4 linked regions of the Arabidopsis thaliana genome follow. The protein of the gene in region 3 interacts with the protein of the main gene of each other region in a pairwise test. Each region holds a gene or a part of one and is shown on either strand. Other genes may lie near its edges. The genes, in order: ABCG6, SAG29, WAK3 and AT4G37220.

Evidence for each region.
Region 1: the proteins of WAK3 (region 3) and ABCG6 interact in a protein complementation assay, tested with the Arabidopsis thaliana proteins (one large-scale study listed by BioGRID).
Region 2: the proteins of WAK3 (region 3) and SAG29 interact in a protein complementation assay, tested with the Arabidopsis thaliana proteins (one large-scale study listed by BioGRID).
Region 4: the proteins of WAK3 (region 3) and AT4G37220 interact in a protein complementation assay, tested with the Arabidopsis thaliana proteins (one large-scale study listed by BioGRID).

The regions. Positions count from the first base shown.
Region 1 is NC_003076.8:4,368,715-4,375,495, forward strand, and holds ABCG6 (ABC-2 type transporter family protein), read left to right. Parts: upstream 1-1,977; 5' UTR 1,978-2,164; coding exon 2,165-4,348; 3' UTR 4,349-4,487; downstream 4,488-6,781. Other genes in the region: DCP2 (decapping 2), read left to right, coding at 208-246, 363-515, 606-709, 800-867, 944-1,278; AT5G13590 (uncharacterized protein), read right to left, coding at 6,004-6,781.
Region 2 is NC_003076.8:4,179,875-4,186,058, reverse strand, and holds SAG29 (senescence-associated gene 29), read left to right. Parts: upstream 1-2,704; 5' UTR 2,705-2,887; coding exon 2,888-2,939; intron 2,940-3,514; coding exon 3,515-3,551; intron 3,552-3,644; coding exon 3,645-3,855; intron 3,856-3,939; coding exon 3,940-4,104; intron 4,105-4,198; coding exon 4,199-4,318; intron 4,319-4,434; coding exon 4,435-4,728; 3' UTR 4,729-5,017; downstream 5,018-6,184.
Region 3 is NC_003070.9:7,431,027-7,437,817, forward strand, and holds WAK3 (wall associated kinase 3), read left to right. Parts: upstream 1-3,208; 5' UTR 3,209-3,276; coding exon 3,277-4,153; intron 4,154-4,254; coding exon 4,255-4,413; intron 4,414-4,486; coding exon 4,487-5,676; 3' UTR 5,677-5,804; downstream 5,805-6,791. Other genes in the region: WAK5 (wall associated kinase 5), read left to right, coding at 1-48, 134-1,320; AT1G21245 (Protein kinase superfamily protein), read left to right, coding at 5,816-6,316. UniProt on the Arabidopsis thaliana protein: Serine/threonine-protein kinase that may function as a signaling receptor of extracellular matrix component. Binding to pectin may have significance in the control of cell expansion, morphogenesis and development.
Region 4 is NC_003075.7:17,512,244-17,517,416, forward strand, and holds AT4G37220 (Cold acclimation protein WCOR413 family), read left to right. Parts: upstream 1-2,798; 5' UTR 2,799-2,862; coding exon 2,863-3,038; intron 3,039-3,127; coding exon 3,128-3,235; intron 3,236-3,316; coding exon 3,317-3,387; intron 3,388-3,472; coding exon 3,473-3,726; 3' UTR 3,727-3,919; downstream 3,920-5,173. Other genes in the region: AT4G37210 (Tetratricopeptide repeat (TPR)-like superfamily protein), read left to right, coding at 133-461, 689-906, 1,000-1,212, 1,300-1,390, 1,476-1,749, 1,825-2,178; AT4G37230 (Photosystem II manganese-stabilising protein (PsbO) family), read left to right, coding at 4,181-4,385, 5,118-5,173.

The sequences.
Region 1 (6,781 bases), on a different chromosome or scaffold from region 3:
AACAGTTTGATCATAACACATACACCTTACGTACTGAAAATAGATTCTCCTACGTGATAATTGAGGAAGAAAAAATGTTCTTAGGTCACCAGTAGACAGAATCTTTTGCAAATGAGAATAGTGCTGCTGTCAATGGTCAACTATATAGGCTCTCTGTATCTTTTTACTATTTCATTGGTATGGAAATGGTCAAAGGTTTAATTGTAGCTCTCTAGTGCTATTCTCCTGGTGAATGTAGCATTTCAGGTGCTGTAATTCTTCTTCTGATTGTTTGTATAGACTTGGAATATGGGTTAATGTTGAAAAAAAACTGAATATTTTGTCACACTTCTTATGTATTGTTCTTCCATGCTAAATTACAGGTCTTAGAGGAAACTGGATTTGATGTCTCAAAGCTACTCAAGAGAGAAGAATATATAGAGTTTGTTTTCAGGCAGCAAAGAGTACGACTTTACATTGTTGCTGGGGTGACAGAAGATACAGTTTTTGCACCACTTACAAAGAAGGAAATCAGTGTGCGTATTTAACAATTAACTTGTGGATCTGATCTTGTCTGTGTATGTATGATGAGTCTCTTATCTTCTTTTGTTGTGGAATACTTGTAGGAAATCACATGGCATCGGCTTGATCATCTTCAGCCAGCAAGTAATGAGGTGATAACTCATGGAGTTTCTGGTCTCAAATTGTACATGGTGGCACCTTTCCTTTCGTGAGTAGTGGCTCTCTAATTTATACACATAGATTTTTGGGTGATTTTCGTGTTTTGGTTCATAACAAGAGAGATTACAAACTTGTGCAGGTCATTGAAGTCGTGGATATTAAAGCATCCTTCACCTGTAGCACGGAGACCTAACAAGCCCCTTAAAGGTTTGACGTCTTTTTCTCAAGCATTCATTAAAAGAGAGGTTTTTGGTAGAGATCTGACTATATATGCTTTGTACAGCACTCTGCGTGTGGAATGCAAGGACTAGTGTTGGAGGGAACGGGACAGCAACAGTGGAAAGCCAAAATAGAAAGTCTGAACTCAGGACAACAACAATGGAAAGCAACAGTAGAAAGCCTGAACTCAAGAGAACAACAATGGAAAGCCACAGTACAAAGCCTGAACTCAGGAAAGGAACAATGGAAAGCCACAATACAACAGCAACAGTAGAAAGCCACAATACAAAGCCTGTAGTCGACCATTCTCAGGACATAAAACCTGGTGGCAGTTTCATAAACTTCAAGTTCAACCAGTCAGTTATCTTACAGGCGTTGGAATCTGGTAATTCAGCTTGACTGGTCAGTTTGTCACATATCGGTTGGATTGGTGTTGGGAGTAATGATGCGGTTGGATTGGTGGGTTTGTCTATAGCAAAACCGTTGGATATGTTCATACACGCTGGTAGCTTTCTATTTCTTTGCCATTTGGTTTATATACCTCTCGTTTCTTCTAGAATGAAAGGGTTGTTGTAAATGATGTTAGTAGGGAAGTGGTGAATCCTTTGGATCATGGCTTTAGATGACAATGTTACGACCAGCTATAAAGGTTAAAAGAGTTTCTTATCCGAGTAGTGAATCGATGATCTTCTTTATAGCGCCCTCTAACTGCTTAATCGAAGCAGAAAGTGTTTTTCTTTTTAGAATAAAAAATGAACTCACCTATAAAACAAAAAGTCGCACCTAAATAAGTGAAGTTTATGTAATACTATGATTACCTTGGAAACAAGAGATATCTCGAGATTGTTTAGTTTTTTTCACATTGTAATTTGTTAGTATAAAAGGTGGGTGGGGGAATGGTGGCCTAAATTCGGCAAGGGTGGCCTAAAAAATACATTTGATTGCTATACGAAAACATTTTAAAGAAACAGAAACTGACAAGTGGCATTTTGTGTTTTACACTTTTACTTGCTTGTGTTTAGGTTTGGAGGTTCATCTACATAAGCATCAGCATTGTGACTTTGACTCTCCCCATCAAAATTAATCCTAAAAATCAAAGCATGTTAAACAGCCCAACCACATTGAGAATTTTATCTATAAATAGAATTAGAAATTAAATCCTTGGTTAAACCCATAACTCTTCTTTCCTCTTTTCTTCTCCGGCTAACGGTAGTTTTGACGCCGTTAGTTTTTCCTCCGTCTATTGATTTTTCCCGCTTCACAATCGCAACAAACCCAAAGAAGAATGTCTCGTGTGGTCGCAGCGGACGACAATATGGCGTTGCCGTTCTTCTCGCCGGAGTTTGGCAATGTCTCAGGCGCGTCGTCTTCTCCAACAACGTTCGCACAGCTCTTGCAAAACGTCGACGACTCCACGCGTCGTAGTCACCACCAGCATCACGTTGATGTGGATCTCGCCTCGCCGGACCAATCCGTACCGTTCGTTCTCTCGTTCACTGATCTCACTTACAGCGTCAAAGTTCGCCGGAAGTTCACATGGAGACGCAGTGTTTCTTCAGATCCTGGAGCTCCGTCTGAGGGGATCTTCTCTTCCAAGACGAAGACGCTCCTCAACGGAATCACCGGAGAAGCTAGAGACGGAGAGATACTAGCTGTGCTCGGAGCAAGTGGCTCTGGAAAATCGACGCTGATCGATGCGTTAGCGAATCGAATCGCTAAAGGAAGCTTGAAAGGAAATGTAACTCTAAACGGAGAAGTTCTCAATTCGAAAATGCAGAAAGCGATCTCAGCTTATGTGATGCAAGACGATCTTCTTTTTCCGATGCTTACAGTTGAAGAAACCTTAATGTTCGCTGCCGAGTTTCGTCTCCCGCGAAGCCTTTCGAAATCAAAGAAGTCTCTCCGTGTCCAAGCCTTGATTGATCAGTTAGGACTTAGAAACGCGGCGAATACGGTGATCGGAGATGAAGGACACCGTGGAATCTCTGGAGGAGAGCGACGGCGAGTTTCAATCGGGATCGATATCATCCACGATCCGATTCTGCTTTTCCTCGATGAACCAACTTCGGGTCTGGACTCTACAAGTGCTCTAAGTGTTATTAAGGTTCTTAAACGAATCGCTCAGAGTGGAAGTATGGTGATCATGACTCTTCATCAACCTAGTTACCGTCTTCTTCGATTGCTTGATCGTCTTCTCTTCTTGTCCCGTGGCCAAACTGTCTTCAGCGGATCGCCTGCGATGCTACCGCGCTTCTTCGCAGAGTTTGGCCATCCAATTCCTGAACATGAGAACCGCACCGAGTTCGCTTTGGATTTGATACGTGAGCTGGAAGGATCAGCTGGTGGAACAAGAAGTTTAGTTGAATTCAACAAAGGGTTTAGACAGAGGAAAGCAGAGCCAAGAAGTCAGACTGGCTTGTCCTTAAAAGAAGCCATCAGCGCAAGTATCTCTAAAGGCAAGCTCGTCTCTGGAGCGACCACAACAACTCATAGCTCTGGCTCGAGCCCTGTTTCCACTATTCCAACTTTCGCGAACCCGTTTTGGGTCGAACTCGCGGTTCTAGCCAAACGGTCCATGACTAATTCTCGCAGACAGCCTGAACTATTCGGGATACGCCTAGGAGCTGTTTTAGTCACTGGATTCATCTTAGCCACTATGTTTTGGCAGCTAGATAACTCCCCTAAAGGAGTCCAAGAACGTCTTGGATGCTTCGCTTTTGCAATGTCCACAACGTTCTACACTTGCGCAGATGCTCTCCCTGTTTTCCTCCAAGAACGTTTCATTTTCATGAGAGAAACTGCTTACAACGCTTACCGAAGATCCTCCTATGTACTATCTCACTCTCTTGTTGCCCTCCCTTCCTTGATCATCCTCTCGCTTGCTTTTGCAGCGATCACATTTTGGGGTGTGGGTTTAGATGGAGGTCTTATGGGTTTCCTCTTCTACTTCCTAGTAATCTTAGCCTCTTTCTGGGCAGGAAGCTCATTCGTCACCTTCTTATCAGGCGTTGTCCCACACGTTATGCTCGGTTACACCATTGTTGTAGCCATTTTAGCCTATTTCTTGCTTTTCAGTGGATTCTTCATCAACCGAGATCGAATCCCTGGCTACTGGATCTGGTTCCATTACATTTCCTTAGTCAAGTATCCTTATGAGGCTGTGCTCCTAAACGAATTCGGTGACCCAACAAAGTGTTTCGTCAGAGGAGTTCAGATATTCGACAACACACCTCTGGTCGCGGTGCCTCAGGGGATGAAAGTTAGGCTTCTAGCAACTATGAGCAAATCACTTGGAATGAGGATCACAAGCTCTACTTGCTTGACCACAGGATATGACATTTTGCAGCAACAAGGCGTTACGGATCTCACCAAATGGAATTGCTTGTGGGTCACGGTCGCTTGGGGCTTCTTCTTTCGAATCTTGTTCTACTTTTCTCTGCTTTTGGGTAGCAAGAACAAGAGGAGGTAAAAACAAAACTCAGTTTGATCTTATGGAGGACTGGTTTGAAACTTGATTTACCTTTGTTTGTTTTCTGTATTTTTCTTTTATCTCTTTGTTGTATATTCTTATATATGTGGTTGATAAATTGTTGAATTGGAGCCCAACTACTTGCTATTTATTTGAATTATAAATTGGAAGACTCTGAAAAGAAAAGACTATAAATGTGTGTAGAATATTTGGCTTGTTTGGGTTTGATAAGTAAAACAAATTTTACAACTAAAAATTGCCAACTTTTTTAGTACAATAGCACCTTACACATTCCGTAGAACACATCATATGACGTATGTTGATGGATTTGCCAACCATAGTCAAGGGGAAGCTTAGCCTATAGTCTCGTCACTTTTAGAACACCAGCCTCTCTAAACAACTTCAATCTCTTGCTTCAGAAACATGAACTATGTACAAACTCATACACATTCCCCAATCAGATTATGGGTTCCTCTTCCGGTTCCCAACACTTTCCTCAACCCCTCATTAATAACATCTACTGATTCAACCTCGTAAAATTCATCTTTCACATGCCTACACTGGAAAAGCAACAAGATCAATCAGAATCCTTTCCCTCAAATGCAACATTAAAGTTCAAATTCACTTGGAATGAGGAAAAAGATAAGGAACCATCAAACACCCCATTGGGTTCAAATAGGTAGTGTACCTTTGGCCGTTTCCAGTTTGCTCTCGTCCATGGCCAGTAAATCCAGTTCTACCAAACTGTACATGCTTCAACATGATAGGTGATAAAGCTTATTATTGGGTCAAAACAATAATAGCAAACTTACTAACCCTTATTTCTCAAACTCCTTTGTCTCTATCAACTGAAAAGTGGCTATGTCAACATTTCAAGCAAGTTTGGTGTAGGTGGTGTACCTTTGGTATCTTGGATATACCTAAAGCCATATTGATGACATCGTGTTATGAATATCCATCATCTCGTTCTTCGCAGATGCAACTGAAAGTCCTAAACCAAATAACAGTTATAACTCAGCCATATATTGGGGTTGTTATGGTTCTGGCAAGTCCAACTTCAAGTAGAACACACGAGTGCTTCGGCAAAGATACTTGTTCATCAAGAACAAAACCTGCACGTCTCTCTGGCCTGAATAGTTCTACCGGTAAAAAGTCTGGACCCCTGTATTTTAACTAGAGGAAAGTGTCTCTTCTAACAACCTAGGCTAGCCATTCTTCATCCCCTCATATCCGTTAAACCAGTAACGTTCTACATAAGCCGGTTGAGGATTACTGAGTGTAGAGAAGACTAAAAAAACCACATGTATTTACACCATCTTGCTTCAGTTGTATACCCATTCCAACTCACAGACAGTGTTACAGTGCAAATGAGAACACCGGAAACTGAATCACAGCAAGAAAGGTAACAACATCTAGATGATACCACAACAGAAGTGCTATACATACACACAGCCAAGCAATGGCCAAGTTCAAAACTTTTTCGAACGATAGAGCAGAGTGTTCCTTTACATCAGTCATTGGAATGTCCACAATAATCAGCCACTGAATTGTCTCGGCCATGGCAAAATCACAGAACTTCCGTTTGATATCTGATTTACTATCACTTATCTTCCTGGTCTTAGAAGGTTAAAGCAAATTGAATACTAACCTTTATTTTAAAAACCATCACCACCGAGCTCATCCGGTTGCCAAATTTTACTGTTCTTTGAAGTTTCTTCCTCTTCCATATTCTTAGTTCTTCCAGATGCATTCTCAGTTGAGTTCTTATTTTCTCCATCAATTTCCATTAAACTCCCTTGTTCTTCAATTTTAATACGAGGGTCTTGTTGGAACCTCACAGCATCAGGGTCATTCTCTACATTAGTAGGTGCACAACCATCATTGTTAAAAGATGGTCTAAAAGAGCTGCTGGTACCATCATGTCTATAACCAAATCGTCTTCTCTCAGCATTAACATCAACACCAAATCGTTCAGAATGAATTTGACCTTCAAAGAAATCATCACTATAGTCAACCCTTTCTCGAGGATCCAAGTTATTCATGTTTCCATGGTTTCTATGTACAACATGATCAGATGGTTTCCTAAATGAGTTGCCATCTCTTCCATAACCTCGACCCCTTACATAACCTCGGCCCCTTGCATAACCCCGGCCCCTTCCAGCATTCGATGGTCTATGCGAGAAAGGTGGAGAATTGTGTCTTCTGACAACCATTTCTCTTGAATAACCAGAATGGTCAGGCGAGCTCATCCTCTCCACTTTGTAACCTGAGGGTGATCTTCGATGAGAAAAGTCTGTATGCCCACTGAACTCTTCCTGTGATCTATTCCTGAAAGACGAGGATGAACCATCTGATCTTTCTCTTGATCTAACTGGAGATCGTGAACGAAATCCAGGAAAATCTCGTTTGGGGTTGTTTACAAACTTTGTTCGT
Region 2 (6,184 bases), on a different chromosome or scaffold from region 3:
GTATGATTGAAATTTCTCTAGAAGTGATACACGTAGTATATTTCTGTCAGAAAAATAGTTTAGCACTTTGGCCATATGTGAATAAGGTGATGATATCAACCATCCCATTACATTTATTTTAATTATCACAACGCTGTAATAATTCTTATAAATATGTATGATTGAAAAGAAATTTATTTGAGTAATTATTTTGAACAACATGGTTTAATACATACACAATTTATGGTATTCTGGCTAATATAGATTCAATAGACCGATCATAATGACATAGTAGTATTTATTTGGTAAACATTAATTAATTCGCTAACAAATCATAGATAGGTATCTATCATTGAAAGCTATATGTAGCATAGCTAGATAAATGTATGTGTGTGTAAAGCTAGATTCGTATAACCGATTGAAATCAGAAAACGATAGGATCGGGGGAGGTTTAATTTCACCCACATGATTGTCATTTTTCCTTTATGTGGTAGCAACATACACAAATTTATATGCATCCATCATATATCAATGTGGGTCACCTAGATGCCTATATTATTGGGGTTTGATCAGCCGATGTTTGTTGTATTTGGGTTGATTTTCCACATAATTCATTTAAAGCATCATCCATTAAAAACGAAAAAACATTTCATATATGGGTTACAGAAATTTTATTCGATGAGAAATGTCAAAATATAAACGAGAAATTGTGATGTGATGCAATATTGCTAGTGAATTATGAATATCTATTGTTCATGACTACTGTATACATATTACTATAAATGTCCATGGATATATTTATAGTAAATAATATAAAGAAGTCAGGGGAATGTGATTGCAAATTTGCATACACCGTATGGATCGTACGATGAACCAAAACTATATTAGGCACCAATCAATCAAAATTTTTAAGAGAAACCAAAGTTGCTTCAATAGTAATTAGAGATGGGGAAATTAAGGTGGAGGAGAACCACAAAAGTGGCACCTCTCATATTTTAAATTATTATGGACCAAATAAAAGAAAGAGGGAGAGAGAGAAACAAATACTCACGAATAAGAACAAGAAGGATTTAACAAACCCATGATCATTGTTATCATTAGCCTACCACGTCACTCCTCTTTTGTCCATTTCTTCCCACTTTTAATATCTGTTTTAACTTACCCTCGAAAAATGGAGAATTGTTTCGTAATTTTCTCAACCTTTTCTCCAAAATATTCAGATTCCTTTCCTCATAACTATAGAAACAAACGTAACAAAAGAAAATGTAATATTCAACCAATCTCTGAATAATATGCATATTACTGCATAACTAGATCATTATACATGCATCCTTATTTCAAAAAATTAACGAGAAAAAGTTTATAAACATTTTAGAAAATTATATATAACTGGAATCAACAAAAAGGACTAATTGTTATTTAATATACTAATATAAGAAATCCTGAAAATAGGGATTAAAACAGGAGACGAAGAGCAAGAAACAGAAAATACTCTAAAGACACGAAACCAAAGAGAGGGTGTTGCCTAGTCAGCATCTGATGACGTGGCATAGCTCTCGTGTGTGTGTGTCTCTACAAACTCTAAAGAAACGGCTATAAGTGGAAGCGTTTGGAGAGGTCACGTGATTTGCACAAATTTTTCGTTTTCATGCTATTATTATCGTATTATTAATCACGACTCTCTCTCGTAACGCATCATTTTTTTCGTTTAATTTACCTTAATTTATTCTCACGCGCGACGCTCCGTTTCGACGCGTGGAGTTTTTGCTCAAAACATGCATGATTGTTAACGTTTTCTTTTTGTACAAGGAAAAAAAAAAACGTGTACCTCTAGACAAGAGTTAGAGAGAAATGAGAAACTGGACCAGGAGATGTGAATGGTTTCATTCCTACTTTGGTTAATCATTGCAAATGCCAATAATTATATAGAGAACGGCGTCAATTTTCTGCAAAGAAATATCTTTACTGGTACTTTTTTGTGCTACCTATAAATGTGTTGGTTTAATCTAGCCATCACACGTATATTTCTAGCTATGTTAGATCTTTAATCATTCTCACCTAGACTCCTTTACAAAAACCAATATAGATGAAACCAGTCCCACCCCTCTCATTTAAGTCATAGTATATATTTGTGTAACGAGAATACAGACAAAACAATTAAATTCATTGTAATCATACTTGAAAATATAGTCAATGAAATTAATTATCCTACATTTTTGAAAACAGTGTCTATAATTATTATGTACATTGAATAGATACGTGGGATATTTTGGATTCCAGTTCATATATATGTAGATTAAAAATAAAGAGAGGGCGATAAAGCCTAAAGAAAATGTACAAATCGTAATGTAATCTAGTGATGATTTCCTCTATATAGGTTGATGTTGGGTAGACTTTTGGTCACCATGATATTTATCTATCGTCTATAAAGTACAAAACTGTGGTACTAAATGTGATTTATGAAAGCTAATTAAAAAGAAGGCGTGAAGAAAATGAAATCGTAATAGACGACGCGCGTACGAGATGAGAGTAGTGGAGGAAAGAAGTAAGATTGAGTGAATGATAAAATGCAAACGCTACCTACTAATATCTCCACTTGTCATGCAACCAGACTGAGTTCGTTTTCCTTTTCGAGTCTTATTTTTTTGTTTTTTATTCTACTCAACACGTTACACGCTTCTAATAAACTCTAAACATTAAAATCAAAATATTTTGACTACAATGGTTATTTTGGAGCTATATATAAACCACCTGAGCCTCCTCAGTTTCCTCCATGAAATAAAAAGAAGCATCTTCTAGAGAGAGACATATAGAGAAAGAGAGAGAAAGCTTTAGGGTTTCAAAAAAAAAAAAAAAGAGACCCTTTAGAAATCTCCTAACAGGAAAGTTTTCTCAATTGCTATAGAAAATGGGAGTCATGATCAATCACCATTTCCTCGCTTTTATCTTCGGCATCTTAGGTAATGATAAATCCACAAAGCCAAATCCTAGTTTGTTCATCATCTCTTGTCTTTACTGTTATTCTTATGTTTTTTACTTGTTAACAAAAGGAATTTGCAACAGCAACTATAATGTTGCAACTTTACATCTAAGCTTCTGTTTTCAAAACAATATATACTATGTGTAGGGTTCCATTGTAGTTCTAGCTTAGAGTTAATTAAACAACAGAGTACTAAGAAATGAATTGAAATTCTGTAGTGTTCATCATGACTCACCTAACAAGTTTCAAGTTTTTTCTTCATTAACTAAACTAAGTCATTTGGGATTATAAATGATCTTCTAATTCTTTAGTTAAATCCCAAACTACCAAAAAATAAATCAATACGTAAGCTATTAATTAAATTGAAATCGTCACGCATTGTTGTCCATGTTATATCATACTCAATACGTGTATAGTGGTTAATGCACAATTTAATTCCCCGCTGAGGTTGGTTAGAGAACCCGTACTGATTCATATGTACTTATGTTTCCACAAAACTAGAAGCCTCTTAATTATACAATTGACTCATTTTTTTATTTTTACATGGAATTACAGGAAACGTGATATCCTTCCTTGTATTCCTCGCTCCAGTGTAAGTAGATTCAATTTACTTTTTTTTATTTCATTTTATTTATTTGTTAGTTTTGAGAATGATTCTGATGATTTCGTTTTTCAAAATATTCAGGCCAACTTTTTATAGAATATACAAGAGAAAATCGACGGAAAGTTTCCAGTCGCTACCGTACCAAGTGTCGCTATTTAGCTGCATGCTATGGCTCTACTACGCATTGATTAAGAAAGACGCTTTTCTCCTAATTACCATCAACTCCTTTGGCTGCGTCGTGGAGACTCTCTACATAGCCATGTTCTTCGCTTACGCCACCAGGGAGAAAAGGGTAAAATTATTCCCCTCTCCTCCTCCTTAATTCCGCTATGTAATTAAATACGAATATTAAATGAATAATATGCGTTTTTGGCAGATATCGGCTATGAAGTTGTTCATAGCAATGAACGTTGCCTTCTTCTCGTTGATTCTAATGGTAACACATTTCGTGGTTAAAACTCCTCCCCTCCAAGTCTCTGTACTCGGCTGGATTTGTGTTGCCATTTCTGTTTCTGTTTTCGCTGCCCCTCTAATGATCGTGGTAAGCTAGCGTTATTTAATTTAATTTGTAAATTTATTTCTAGAACATTATATTTTGAAATAAAATGTTAAATATAAATTCTTGATGTGAATAGGCTCGTGTGATAAAGACAAAGAGTGTGGAGTACATGCCCTTCACGCTTTCTTTCTTCCTCACTATAAGCGCCGTTATGTGGTTCGCTTATGGTTTATTCCTCAATGACATATGCATAGCGGTAAGCAATTAAGCATCTATATTATTATTTATTTTTACCGTTTGCTAAATTTTTTAAATATTCGGTAAAAAGGTTATAACTGACCTATTTTGTATGGCTTTGATGATATTTTGTAGATTCCAAACGTGGTGGGATTCGTACTAGGGCTGTTGCAAATGGTTTTGTACTTGGTTTACAGGAACTCAAATGAGAAACCAGAGAAGATTAATTCGTCAGAACAACAACTTAAGAGTATTGTCGTGATGAGTCCGTTAGGTGTGTCGGAAGTGCACCCAGTTGTGACGGAATCGGTGGACCCACTCTCTGAAGCCGTTCATCATGAGGATCTGTCCAAAGTTACTAAAGTGGAGGAGCCGTCAATTGAAAACGGCAAGTGCTACGTGGAGGCTACTCGTCCTGAAACCGTTTGAAGTGTCAATATGTGAAGCTCAAAATATTGCTCTCTCTCTCTCTCTCTTTCACTCTCTTTCTCTCGGCTCGTCAGGGCCGGCCAAAGGAAGAAATTGTATTATCGGCGGGGTGGTTTGTTAAATTTCCATTTTTGTTTCGTATCTTATTGATGATGTACTACTTGCATAAAGTTTTGTGTTTATTTGAATATATTATCTTTGTGTAAGTTGTAACTAGTGCTCTTTGGAAAATTTGATATAATAAACCTCAATAGCTTAATTACTCCTACTAATAAGCTTTTTTTTTGTTAAAACTAATAAGCTTGTTGACCACCCTTTTTTTTTATGATTGATTACATTTGTCTTAAAGATGTCGCCGTCAGTTAGATAACGAATGGTCTTGTGCCATTGACGACATACTGTTTAACGATTTTGAGAATTAACAAATATATAAAACTCATGAGTCAGAAGAAAAAGTATGTACATAAGTTTGTGATCTAAACTGTCCCCATCAAGTATATACAACCAAAGCAGATTATATTCTTTTTTAAACGAATTGTGTTTTTCTTTGTAGAGTCTAATTTTCAAGTGTACAAAAAATCATCACCGTCCAGTTTTGGAAACGAATAAAAAATTGTCAAGACGTCCCAATGGTCTGATGAAAATGTATTGCAAGCATATCTCACACTTCCAAGTGACAATCACTATATTATTTGCTTATTCGTAACAAAATATACAAGATTACTTAGTTATCTACAAATATTATAACCATCCTATGATTATATTACCCCAAAATATTTTAATATAACTATAAATAACTCGTAAGAAATAATAATATGAAATATATATACTTGTTAACTAACTTACATTTTAAACCGTAACGACAAAATCCGACAAAGAATCATATATATTATAGCGAATTTTGACAAATTACGCATGCCAGTGTAGGATACGCTATGTAATTTATAAAATTAGTATGTCTCTTGATGGAAAAAAAGACAGAGGTTTTTAGTTAATAATTTTTCCTCTTACTTAAAAAATTCTAAAATTTAGGACTATCTAGTAAAGAATAGATTCTCCGAGTATTTAGAGGCCAAGAAATGATATTCACCAAAACTAAAACATACGGGAAGTTTCGACATCCATTTCAATAGACTACACAGTACACTGTCAATAGTAAAAAAAAGTCCCGACAAAAACTTGATAAGACCAACTAAAATCTTACAATCTGAATAAGCCATCCTTAAAATAATTGTCAGATTGCGAGGGCATGTGACCCACGTTGTCCGAAACTCCGCGATTGTGGACATTAGCCACACTACTGAACCACATGAATAGAGTCCAGAAACACTTAATATTGGATCTTTGCTATTCAATCTTTCAATGAGACGTAAACATCGCCACATGTGACTCATCATGAAACACATATCTGTCAAAATTTAAAAATAGAAAGACTACAAAATTTACATGAACAATC
Region 3 (6,791 bases):
CACCTAAAGAAGAGCCTAAGTACTTAGGATGGACTACTGTTCTTCTTGGTAAGCTCCCTTACTCGTTTTCGATGAATATGTTTTGTCGAACAACTCGGGTCTAATGATCTTTGTTTTTATGTCATGTGATCAGGAACCACCATCGGATTCTTAATCATCTTGCTTACCATTAGCTATATACAACAAAAAATGAGGCACCGAAAAAACACCGAGCTGCGACAACAATTCTTCGAGCAAAATGGTGGTGGCATGTTGATACAGCGACTCTCAGGAGCAGGGCCATCAAATGTGGATGTCAAAATCTTTACTGAAGAAGGCATGAAGGAAGCAACTGATGGTTATAATGAGAGCAGAATCCTAGGCCAGGGAGGACAAGGAACAGTCTACAAAGGGATATTGCAAGATAACTCCATTGTTGCTATAAAGAAAGCTCGACTTGGAGACCGTAGCCAAGTAGAGCAGTTCATCAACGAAGTGCTAGTGCTTTCACAAATAAACCACAGGAACGTGGTCAAACTCTTGGGCTGTTGTCTAGAGACTGAAGTTCCCTTGTTGGTCTATGAGTTCATTTCCAGTGGCACTCTTTTTGATCACTTGCACGGTTCTATGTTTGATTCTTCGCTTACATGGGAACACCGTCTGAGGATAGCCATAGAAGTTGCTGGAACTCTTGCATATCTTCACTCCTATGCTTCTATTCCAATCATCCACCGAGATGTCAAGACTGCTAACATTCTCCTCGATGAAAACTTAACTGCAAAAGTAGCTGATTTTGGTGCATCAAGGCTGATACCGATGGACCAAGAGCAGCTCACAACTATGGTTCAAGGAACTCTTGGCTATTTAGACCCTGAATACTACAATACAGGGCTTCTGAACGAAAAGAGCGATGTTTATAGCTTTGGGGTAGTCCTCATGGAACTGCTCTCAGGTGAAAAGGCATTATGCTTTGAACGGCCACAAAGCTCAAAACATCTAGTGAGTTACTTTGTTTCTGCCATGAAAGAAAATAGGTTGCATGAGATTATTGACGGTCAAGTTATGAACGAGTATAATCAGAGGGAGATCCAGGAATCTGCAAGAATTGCTGTTGAGTGTACAAGAATTATGGGAGAGGAAAGGCCAAGTATGAAAGAAGTAGCTGCAGAGTTAGAGGCCTTGAGAGTCAAAACAACCAAACATCAGTGGTCAGATCAATATCCCAAGGAGGTTGAGCATTTGCTTGGTGTTCAAATCTTATCGACGCAAGGTGATACCAGTAGCATTGGCTATGACAGCATCCAGAATGTAACAAGGTTGGACATTGAAACTGGCCGCTGATATTTATCAATCTTTTGTTTGTGAAAAAGTAAAGCCACTTATTTATTGCTTATGTCCTATATGTTTCCTAACACTTCAAAAAAAACAGAGTATCAAAACATGATATTCAAGAACATTTATGCTCGAGAGATCCGTTGTAGATCATCAATTATTCATTTTATAACTCCATTCGATTGGTAAGCTAACCAGTAGACGATTCGGTATGAGAAAAATTAAGAATTCATGAATCTACTAGCAGAGATATTGATATACTGTTGTGGTTGCAAAACAATAACTCGAATTTAAAGGGCTCAGTTGCTTAAAACATCCTATTTGATCCACAGCTTGACTCATATATTGTTTTGGTACTGGCATCTATAATTTAATACTGCGTTTTCTAAATTAACAAAATCATTCTTGCTGCATAAGATTGCTCTGGTTTTGAAGCCATCAAGTTTTCTTATTTTGTTAAAAATTTATGATCTTTAACCATAAGTAATATATATAGTGAAAACATGAGAAAATTTGGTGGATTCTAGAAAAGCACTCTCCGTCAACGTGATCGATATTATGATGAAATGATTACAAAGATGCAATTATATATATCCACGAGCAACAAGACGAAGACAAAAATGTAAACAAGTTAACATATGATTTTGGAATTAGATCAGTAATAAACAAACATATGCACAACTACATGAGAAGTAAAAACTAGTAAACGAGAAATCTCTAACTTAAGATGCGTGGTATGTACGTAACTCCAAAAGAACAACTTGACATTTTTTTTTTTTTTTTTTTTTTGAATGTAATGTTAAATTATATTCAAGAAAAATAACGTTTTTGATACAAGGCTTTGAAAGTATGAAAGAACAACTTGACTATTTGATAAACAACTTGACTCATATATTGCTCTGTTATTAAAATTTTAATACTGCGTTTTCTAAATTAAATTATCATTCTTGCTGCATAAGATTGTTGTGGTTTTGTAACCATCAAATTTTCCTTTTTTGTTAAAACTCTGATCTTTAGTAAATTGAGAAAGCTACCTCTACTATACCCTTAAAATCTCTAAGTCTGGTCTGTCAAAGATTATTTTAATCATCAAACAGTGTATTTTCAGTTTTTTCTCAAGATTTTCCCTCAGTTTCTTTGAATGAATCTGGTTTCTTTCGGTGAAAGAGTGCTGGTCGTAATTGAGTTTGGTTTGTAATATATTACTTAAGTGTCGTGTCTGTTAAGTTAAAGTAGTTATGTTTGTTGTGTCACAAGAAAGAAGAGTCATAACTCTTGACTTTTCATGTCTGTTGGTTTGTATTTAAGTTAATTGTTGTAAACCTTGTAAAACAGTTGTTGTATTTCACTTTCTCTATAATAGAAAGACAAGTTCTTCTCTTTATTGTTATGTTGACGATCAAACCAATTGTGATACAAAGTCTGATTCTCTTTCTCTGTTCTTAACTCTGTTCTGTTTCTAGAAGGAGATTCAGTTTCTAACAAAGTGGTGGATTTGCATGGAAATTTCTCATAGATAACCTCTTGAAGAGTAAGCAGCGACATGACACATGAGGCAAGAACTATTCAAATTCTTCGAAAACTTGTTGACATTTATAAACTCAACACACACACACACACAAAAAAACTACATATTTCTACTATTACGACAGCAGAAGAAAACAGAGCATGTTGTGATCATGATGAGTCTTATTCCTACATTGTCACTATAACGAGACTTTCATATATGAACAATAAATTGGAGTTTCCTGGAAAAATCAAGACAAGAAAGAAAGGACAGATAAAGAAGTTGACGCATTTATATTTTTCTAACGTCTAGTAGTCTGAATCTTTACTTTTCTTCACATTTGATTATTCAACAATGTCAAATCAGGGGTTACTTTTCAAGCTATAAGAAGCGAATAAGCGATGAGAGAAAACTCAAAGAGAAACAAGTTTAGAGAGAAAGAAAGAGAAAGGTAGAAGATGAAGTTCCAGGAGGGTGTGTTCTTGGTGGTTATTTTCTTCCTTGCATATACTCAGCTTGTGAAGGGGCAACATCAACCTCGCGAAGATTGTAAACTTAAATGTGGAAACGTCACAATAGAGTACCCTTTTGGTATTTCTACAGGTTGTTACTATCCCGGAGATGATAATTTCAATCTCACCTGTGTCGTGGAAGAGAAGCTACTACTCTTTGGCATCATTCAAGTGACCAATATTTCTCACAGTGGCCATGTAAGTGTACTGTTTGAACGATTCTCTGAATGCTACGAGCAGAAAAATGAGACTAATGGAACTGCCCTCGGGTATCAGCTGGGTAGTAGTTTCTCTCTCTCCTCCAACAACAAGTTTACTTTAGTAGGATGTAACGCTTTATCACTTTTGAGCACTTTTGGAAAGCAAAACTACTCAACTGGATGCTTGTCATTATGCAATTCTCAACCAGAGGCAAATGGAAGATGTAATGGTGTAGGTTGCTGCACAACAGAGGACTTCTCTGTCCCGTTCGATAGCGATACATTCCAATTTGGCTCAGTTCGCTTGAGAAACCAAGTTAATAATTCCTTAGATCTATTTAATACTTCGGTATATCAGTTTAATCCTTGCACCTACGCTTTTCTCGTTGAAGATGGTAAGTTTAACTTCGATTCTTCAAAAGATCTTAAGAATCTGAGGAATGTCACGAGGTTCCCTGTGGCACTAGATTGGTCTATTGGAAACCAGACATGTGAGCAAGCTGGAAGCACAAGAATATGCGGTAAGAACAGCTCATGTTACAATTCTACTACTAGAAACGGGTATATCTGCAAATGTAATGAAGGTTATGATGGGAATCCATACCGTTCAGAGGGTTGCAAAGGTACTTCATATTAATTTCTTTGCTTTCTTTCTTCTTTTGAGTGTTTATAATCTTCCTCATACGTTTTTGGTTGCATCTTGTGCACTTATTCCTTTGGTCAGACATCGATGAGTGTATTAGTGATACACATAACTGTTCGGATCCAAAAACCTGTAGAAACAGGGATGGAGGCTTCGATTGTAAGTGTCCATCTGGTTACGACTTAAACTCCAGTATGAGCTGCACGAGGCCCGAATACAAACGGACTCGAATTTTTCTTGGTAAACACTCTTCACTGGTTCTAGATTCTCTTTAAATCAACTCGCTCTAATCATCTATGCATGATGTTATCAGTAATCATAATCGGCGTCTTGGTCCTCCTGCTTGCTGCGATCTGTATACAACATGCAACGAAGCAAAGGAAGTATACCAAGCTCCGACGACAATTCTTTGAGCAAAATGGTGGTGGCATGTTGATACAGCGACTTTCAGGAGCAGGGTTGTCAAACATTGATTTCAAAATCTTTACTGAGGAAGGCATGAAAGAGGCAACTAATGGCTATGATGAGAGCAGAATCTTGGGCCAGGGAGGTCAAGGAACAGTCTACAAAGGGATATTGCCGGACAACACTATCGTTGCTATAAAGAAAGCTCGGCTTGCAGACAGTAGACAAGTAGATCAGTTCATCCACGAAGTGCTCGTGCTTTCACAAATTAACCACAGGAACGTGGTCAAGATCTTGGGTTGCTGTCTAGAGACTGAAGTCCCCTTGTTGGTCTATGAATTCATTACCAATGGCACCCTTTTCGATCACTTGCACGGTTCCATTTTTGATTCTTCTCTTACATGGGAACACCGCCTCAGAATAGCGATAGAAGTCGCTGGAACTCTTGCTTATCTTCACTCCTCTGCTTCTATTCCAATCATCCATCGCGATATCAAAACTGCAAATATTCTCTTGGATGAAAACTTAACTGCAAAAGTAGCCGACTTTGGCGCTTCTAAGCTTATACCAATGGATAAAGAGCAGCTCACAACTATGGTGCAAGGCACTCTAGGCTATTTAGACCCAGAATACTATACCACAGGGCTTCTGAACGAGAAGAGCGATGTGTATAGCTTTGGGGTAGTCCTCATGGAACTGCTCTCAGGTCAAAAGGCATTGTGCTTTGAACGGCCACAGGCTTCAAAACATTTGGTGAGTTACTTTGTTTCTGCCACGGAAGAGAATAGGTTGCATGAGATTATTGACGACCAAGTGTTGAACGAGGATAATCTGAAGGAGATCCAGGAAGCTGCAAGAATTGCTGCAGAGTGTACAAGGCTAATGGGAGAGGAAAGGCCAAGGATGAAAGAAGTAGCTGCAAAGCTAGAAGCCTTGAGGGTCGAGAAAACCAAACATAAGTGGTCGGATCAGTATCCTGAGGAGAATGAACACTTGATTGGTGGTCACATCTTGTCTGCACAAGGCGAAACCAGTAGCAGCATTGGCTATGATAGCATCAAAAATGTAGCAATATTGGACATTGAAACTGGCCGCTGATATTGCTCACAAAATCACATGTATCTCTTTTGTTTGTAAAAAAAGAAAACCACTTATTTGTTGCTTCATCAATATGCTTTGAGAGCTTGTTTGTTCATCATCAATAATCATGTTCATATTTTCCTTTACTTGGTATACTATGGTGCAAGGCACTCTAGGCTATTTAGACCCAGAATACTATACCACAGGGCTTCTGAACGAGAAGAGCGATGTGTATAGCTTTGGGGTAGTCCTCATGGAACTGCTCTCAGGTCAAAAGGCATTGTGCTTTGAACGGCCACAGGCTTCAAAACATTTGGTGAGTTACTTTGTTTCTGCCACGGAAGAGAATAGGTTGCATGAGATTATTGACGACCAAGTGTTGAACGAGGATAATCTGAAGGAGATCCAGGAAGCTGCAAGAATTGCTGCAGAGTGTACAAGGCTAATGGGAAAAGAAAGGCCAAGGATGAAAGAAGTAGCTGTAGAGCTAGAAACTTTGAGCGTCAAAACAACCAAACATAATTGGTCGGATCAGTATCGAGAGGAGAATTTACACTTGCTTGGTAGCAACATCGTGTCTTCCCAAGGCGATACCAATAGCCGTGGTTATGACAGCGTCAAGAATGTAGCATTGCTTGACATTGAAGCTGGCCGCTGATAAATTTTGTTTGTTAAAAAGTATATTGTTTAATTCTTTATTGTTTATCTCCTTTTGTCTTTATAAACATAACCAGAATATCAAAACATGACATTCAAAAACATTGATATCCTTGTAGATCATCCATATATACTCATGTTCACAATTCTCCTATATTTTTATATGCTAACCAGTAGCTGATTAGGTATTAGAAAAACTACCTAGAGTTCATAAATATGATTCCATACGACATTAATATATCATTGTGCTTAATTATAAAGAAAAACAAAACAACTCGAGAAGAAAAAACACTAGAATTTAAAGTAGGCGTCAAAAACAGAGGAGAGTAAGTATACTATGAATATGATCATCGAAATCTTCAGCACCTGGTCGAGTTCATCGTAGATACCGCTTCCTCAAACCAAACCATATGATTCTTTGTTAGTTGCTTGGTAAACTAAAAAAATAAAAGACTCATTTGGTGCAAACTTCATAT
Region 4 (5,173 bases), on a different chromosome or scaffold from region 3:
ATTTTGGTTTTCATTTTCAAGTCCGCCAAAAAAAGCGAAGAGAGGGTTTTAATACGATTCCACTCTTCTCAACAAATTTGACGTTTTTGTTCTTCGAAATTCAAATTCACCCAGAAAAAATCTCAATCCGCGATGGTTGAAGAATCAGCTTCTGCGTCGGAAGCTTCGGTGATACAAACCCTAACCGAGCCGGCGACGGAGATTGCGCAAACCCTAGAACCTAACCTAGCCTCAATCGAAGCCACCGTCGAATCGGTTGTTCAGGGAGGCACTGAATCGACTTGTAACAACGACGCTAATAACAACAACGCCGCTGACAGTGCTGCTACTGAGGTTTGTGATGAGGAGCGTGAGAAGACGCTTGAGTTCGCTGAGGAATTGACGGAGAAAGGCTCTGTGTTTTTGAAAGAGAACGATTTCGCTGAAGCCGTCGATTGCTTCAGCCGTGCTCTCGAAATCAGGTATCTTTTTGGGAGATTCATTTGAGAATTTGTAGTCGAGAACCTCTCAATCAAGGGTTTAGGGTTTCAGATGTTTCTGAATCTAGTTTATGCTCGAATGATCTAATCATGGTTCTGAATTTTTAGTTGAGTTTCAATTGTGTGTTCTCTCGACTGAATTCTTTAGTATCTGGTCCTTTTATCAAAGGATCTAATGAAAACATTGCTTGTTTTAATGGTATGGTTAGGGTTGCACATTATGGTGAACTTGATGCTGAGTGTATAAACGCATACTATCGATATGGATTAGCTCTCCTGGCAAAGGCTCAAGCTGAAGCTGATCCACTTGGGAACATGCCTAAGAAAGAAGGTGAAGTTCAGCAAGAGTCCAGCAATGGTGAATCGCTGGCTCCTTCTGTTGTTTCAGGTGACCCAGAGAGACAAGGGAGTTCAAGTGGGCAAGAAGGTATGGATTATTGGGAATTGTCTTAGGTTAAGCTTATGGGTATAGATGCTTCTGCTTCTTTGTTTGCTGACTTCTTTTCTCCCTCATGTATAGGTTCTGGTGGTAAAGACCAAGGAGAGGATGGTGAAGATTGTCAAGATGATGACCTATCTGATGCTGATGGTGATGCTGATGAAGATGAGTCTGATTTGGATATGGCCTGGAAAATGCTGGACATTGCTAGGGTTATTACTGACAAACAGTCTACTGAGACAATGGAAAAAGTGGATATACTCTGTTCGCTTGCTGAAGTGTCCTTGGAAAGAGGTATTTTTTCTTCCTTTCACCTTTGCATTGTCTTATTTTCTCATGTCAGCTATTGGTTGGTTTTGAGTTCTGTTGTTTACTATGCAGAGGACATTGAGTCTTCCCTGTCTGACTACAAGAATGCATTATCCATCTTAGAGAGACTGGTTGAGCCCGACAGTCGACGCACAGCTGAATTGTATCCTTGTGGTTTCTTAAATTGTACCTGATTTTCGTTTCTGTCAATTCAGTTGTTGGATTATATCTTAACTTGAACGTTTCAGAAACTTCCGCATCTGCATTTGTCTTGAGACTGGATGTCAGCCTAAGGAAGCAATACCATATTGTCAAAAAGCTTTGTTAATATGCAAAGCTCGGATGGAGAGGCTCAGTAATGAAATCAAAGGTGCATCTGGTTCAGCAACTTCCTCAACCGTCTCTGAAATAGATGAAGGCATCCAACAATCATCCAATGTTCCTTACATTGATAAATCTGCTTCAGACAAAGAAGTTGAGATCGGAGACTTAGCTGGTCTCGCTGAAGATCTAGAAAAGAAGGCAAGTAAACTAAACCTATCAGTTCATTAAAATATCTCTAAACCCATACTAATGTCCAACATTTTTTTTCTGCAGCTTGAGGATTTAAAACAACAAGCAGAGAACCCAAAGCAGGTTCTTGCTGAGCTAATGGGCATGGTATCAGCTAAGCCAAATGCCAGTGACAAGGTTGTTCCTGCTGCTGCTGAAATGAGCTCTTCTAGGATGGGAACTGTGAACACCAATTTCGGGAAAGATTTAGAGTCGCCTACAGTCTCAACCGCTCATACCGGTGCAGCAGGAGGAGGAGCAGCATCAGGTGTTACTCACTTGGGTGTTGTTGGAAGAGGAGTGAAGAGAGTTTTGATGAATACAACCTCGATTGAATCAAGTGCATCAAAGAAACCAGCTCTAGAGTTTTCAGACAAAGCAGATGGCAACTCCTCTTGAAACCGGAAAAAGGTATAAAAATTCCTGTTACTAGTGAAGTATCTAACCTAAGAAAACTGAGAAAAACATTTGGTATCTTCCTCATGAATCTTCCAAGACTAGATTTTCAGGTTCATGTTTTGTAATGGAGTCCGTACTTGCTACTTTTTTAAATCGCTGAGATATTTTTTACTTTTTATTCTTGTTTAATCAGTCTTATTTTTTCAAAGTGTTTTTTAGTTTAGGCACAAAAGCAGAATCTTATTATCACATTATCAGTTGATAATCATCTGATGAGAAATAGTTCTTTGGAGATCTTTTAGGGAATTTTATAAGTAATAATTAAGGGATAATTGGATATCCTTTATTAAAAAATGTAGGCTACTTGTAGAATTAAAAACTGGAATCTTATAATATGATTAGTATAATAAGATTACGCTATATCTGGATTCTGGAGATATCATAGATAAGCTCTGTCTATGAAAACGAGACCCTTGGGGAAGCCACGTGTCAAATCTATCTCTGTCACCAGCGAAGCCTACGTGGCGAGCAGCTCCTAGAATATCCAAATTCACAACAGTATTTTTTTTTCTTTCGTTCTGATTCAACAGTTGTCACAAACAGCCAAGGTGTTTTGTGATTGGTTATAAATACTCTGCTATGTGAGAGAGTTTACTACATTCACAAACAAACTAAAACTTAAAAATGGGAAGGGGTGAGTTTTTGGCCATGAAGACTGAGGAGAACGCGGCTAACCTGATCAATTCCGATATGAATGAGTTCGTCGCCGCTGCAAAGAAGCTCGTGAAAGACGTAGGGATGCTCGGCGGGGTAGGTTTTGGCACGTCAGTCCTCCAATGGGCCGCTTCAATCTTCGCTATGTGAGCCAAAAGACAAAACCATATAACCTCTCTGGTTTTTGTTTGAATCATATATTGATATGATGGTTCTTATTGTTTTGCTTTGACAGTTATCTGTTGATATTGGATCGTACCAACTGGAAAACCAAAATGTTGACCACCCTTTTAGTACCATACATCTTTTTCACACTTCCTTCGGTTATCTTCCAGTTCTTTAGGTAATCAAGAAAAACTGTTCTTTAACATGATGTTATGGAGTTCTTTTGAAAATATAATCCATATTCGATATAATTTCACAGCGGAGACTTTGGGAAATGGATTGCTCTCATCGCGATCATAGTCAGGCTTTTCTTCCCTAAAGAATTTCCAGGTCAGAACCAGCAGTTTTCATGACTTAACATTAGTTTGAAACTTTGATCTTGAAAATCTTCTTTCTTTTTTGCATATAAATGTAGAGTGGCTAGAGATTCCGGTAGCATTGATTCTTATTGTGGTGGTGTCGCCGAGCCTTATAGCTTGGACACTAAGAGAAAGCTGGGTTGGAGCAGTCATATGTCTAGTAATAGCATGTTACCTTTTCCATGAACACATTAAAGCTTCAGGTGGATTCAAAAACTCTTTTACTCAAAAGAATGGAATCTCCAATACCATTGGGATCGTTGCCCTCCTCGTTTACCCGGTTTGGACCATCTTCTTTCACATCTTTTAAGTCAATCCGACCCATTGGTTTGTAGACACATTCAACATTTTGTGTCTTCAATTCGTTTTCAAGGTTTGAATTTTATAAGGAGCATTTGTGTTTGAGAAAGTCTTGAATATAAAAAAGAAGTTTCAATCGTGCACTGCTGACTTGTAAGATTGTTTTTTTTTTCTTGTAAATGTGTGACTTGTAAGATATATAAATAAATTTGCATATTGGTTGATTTGTTGAATCAATCTTGAATATTGTAGACTTTTTAATTGATCATGACTAATAGTTGTTTTTTGAAAATTGTTTTTCATTTCATTAACACCAAACAATAAAGCAACACAAATTTCTATCACCTCCTAGCATTGAACTACGTGCCGTTGTTCGTATCCAAAAGTGTATATTCTTGTAATCATTCACCGTCAAAGCTCAAGTAGTTAGTAGCACCACACCAGATTTCCAAAGCACAAAGCTCATGACTAGCCTTACCTACACACTCGATGAAATCGAAGGCCCTTTCGAAGTTGATTACGCAGCAGTGACAGTACACAACTTCCTGGTGGGGAGCGTGTACCGTTCTTGTTCACGATCAAGCAGCTCGTGGCATCGCAGAGGATACTTTGGTCCCAAGTCGATCCCTTCAGCATTCACCCAAGGCCACGTTGGAAATAAATCTGATCGTAAAACACAACATCTGCAGATTATTATCAATAAAAATTCAGAAATCAATAAAATTCACTCTGAAAACGCAGAAAATCTAAGGTAAATTCATAACGACCTTTTGAATTTCTAGTGTCGAAGCTGTATTGAAGAAGAAGAAGAAGATTCCGAAGCTAACAAAGGAGAAGACGAGAGTGGATTGATTGCTCCTCTCTCCTCTCTGATGATATTCGTGCTTCTACACTCACAGAGATACACTGTTTATTATTGTTTTCAATATATGAGAGGAGGAGCTTCCCTACTATTTTTAGTTTTTTAGCCAATGAGAGAGCTCCACTTCATACCCCACTTTTACCAATCGTGCGATTTCACAGCCACTCTCACCCATGTCGCGTTGAGCGCGTGTCTACGATTTCTAAAGGGGTTATTAATCCACAAAATTTATGCCTTTTTGAATCCACGCACCTCGTTCTTAAAAACCCATCGCGTGTCTTATTTGTTTTGGTTTTCTTCTCTAAACCAAATTAAACCGAACCGAGATCAATTTGAATTTCGAAACCAATGTAAACCCATCGCTGTGAAAACAAAAAGCTCGGCCACAAAAATGGAGACGACACAACTTGGAAGAGAAATCAACTCGAAATAGCCAAGAGAATGTTCGTAAACCCCCTCAAATCCGATGCTTCCTTTGATTCCAACCTCCAAAAGCCCATCTGCTCAAATCCGAGGAGTATTACAAGGTACCTCTATAGAATATCAAGGCTATGACAATGCGGTTGCATTACCTGCTAGAGGAAACAATGAGGAG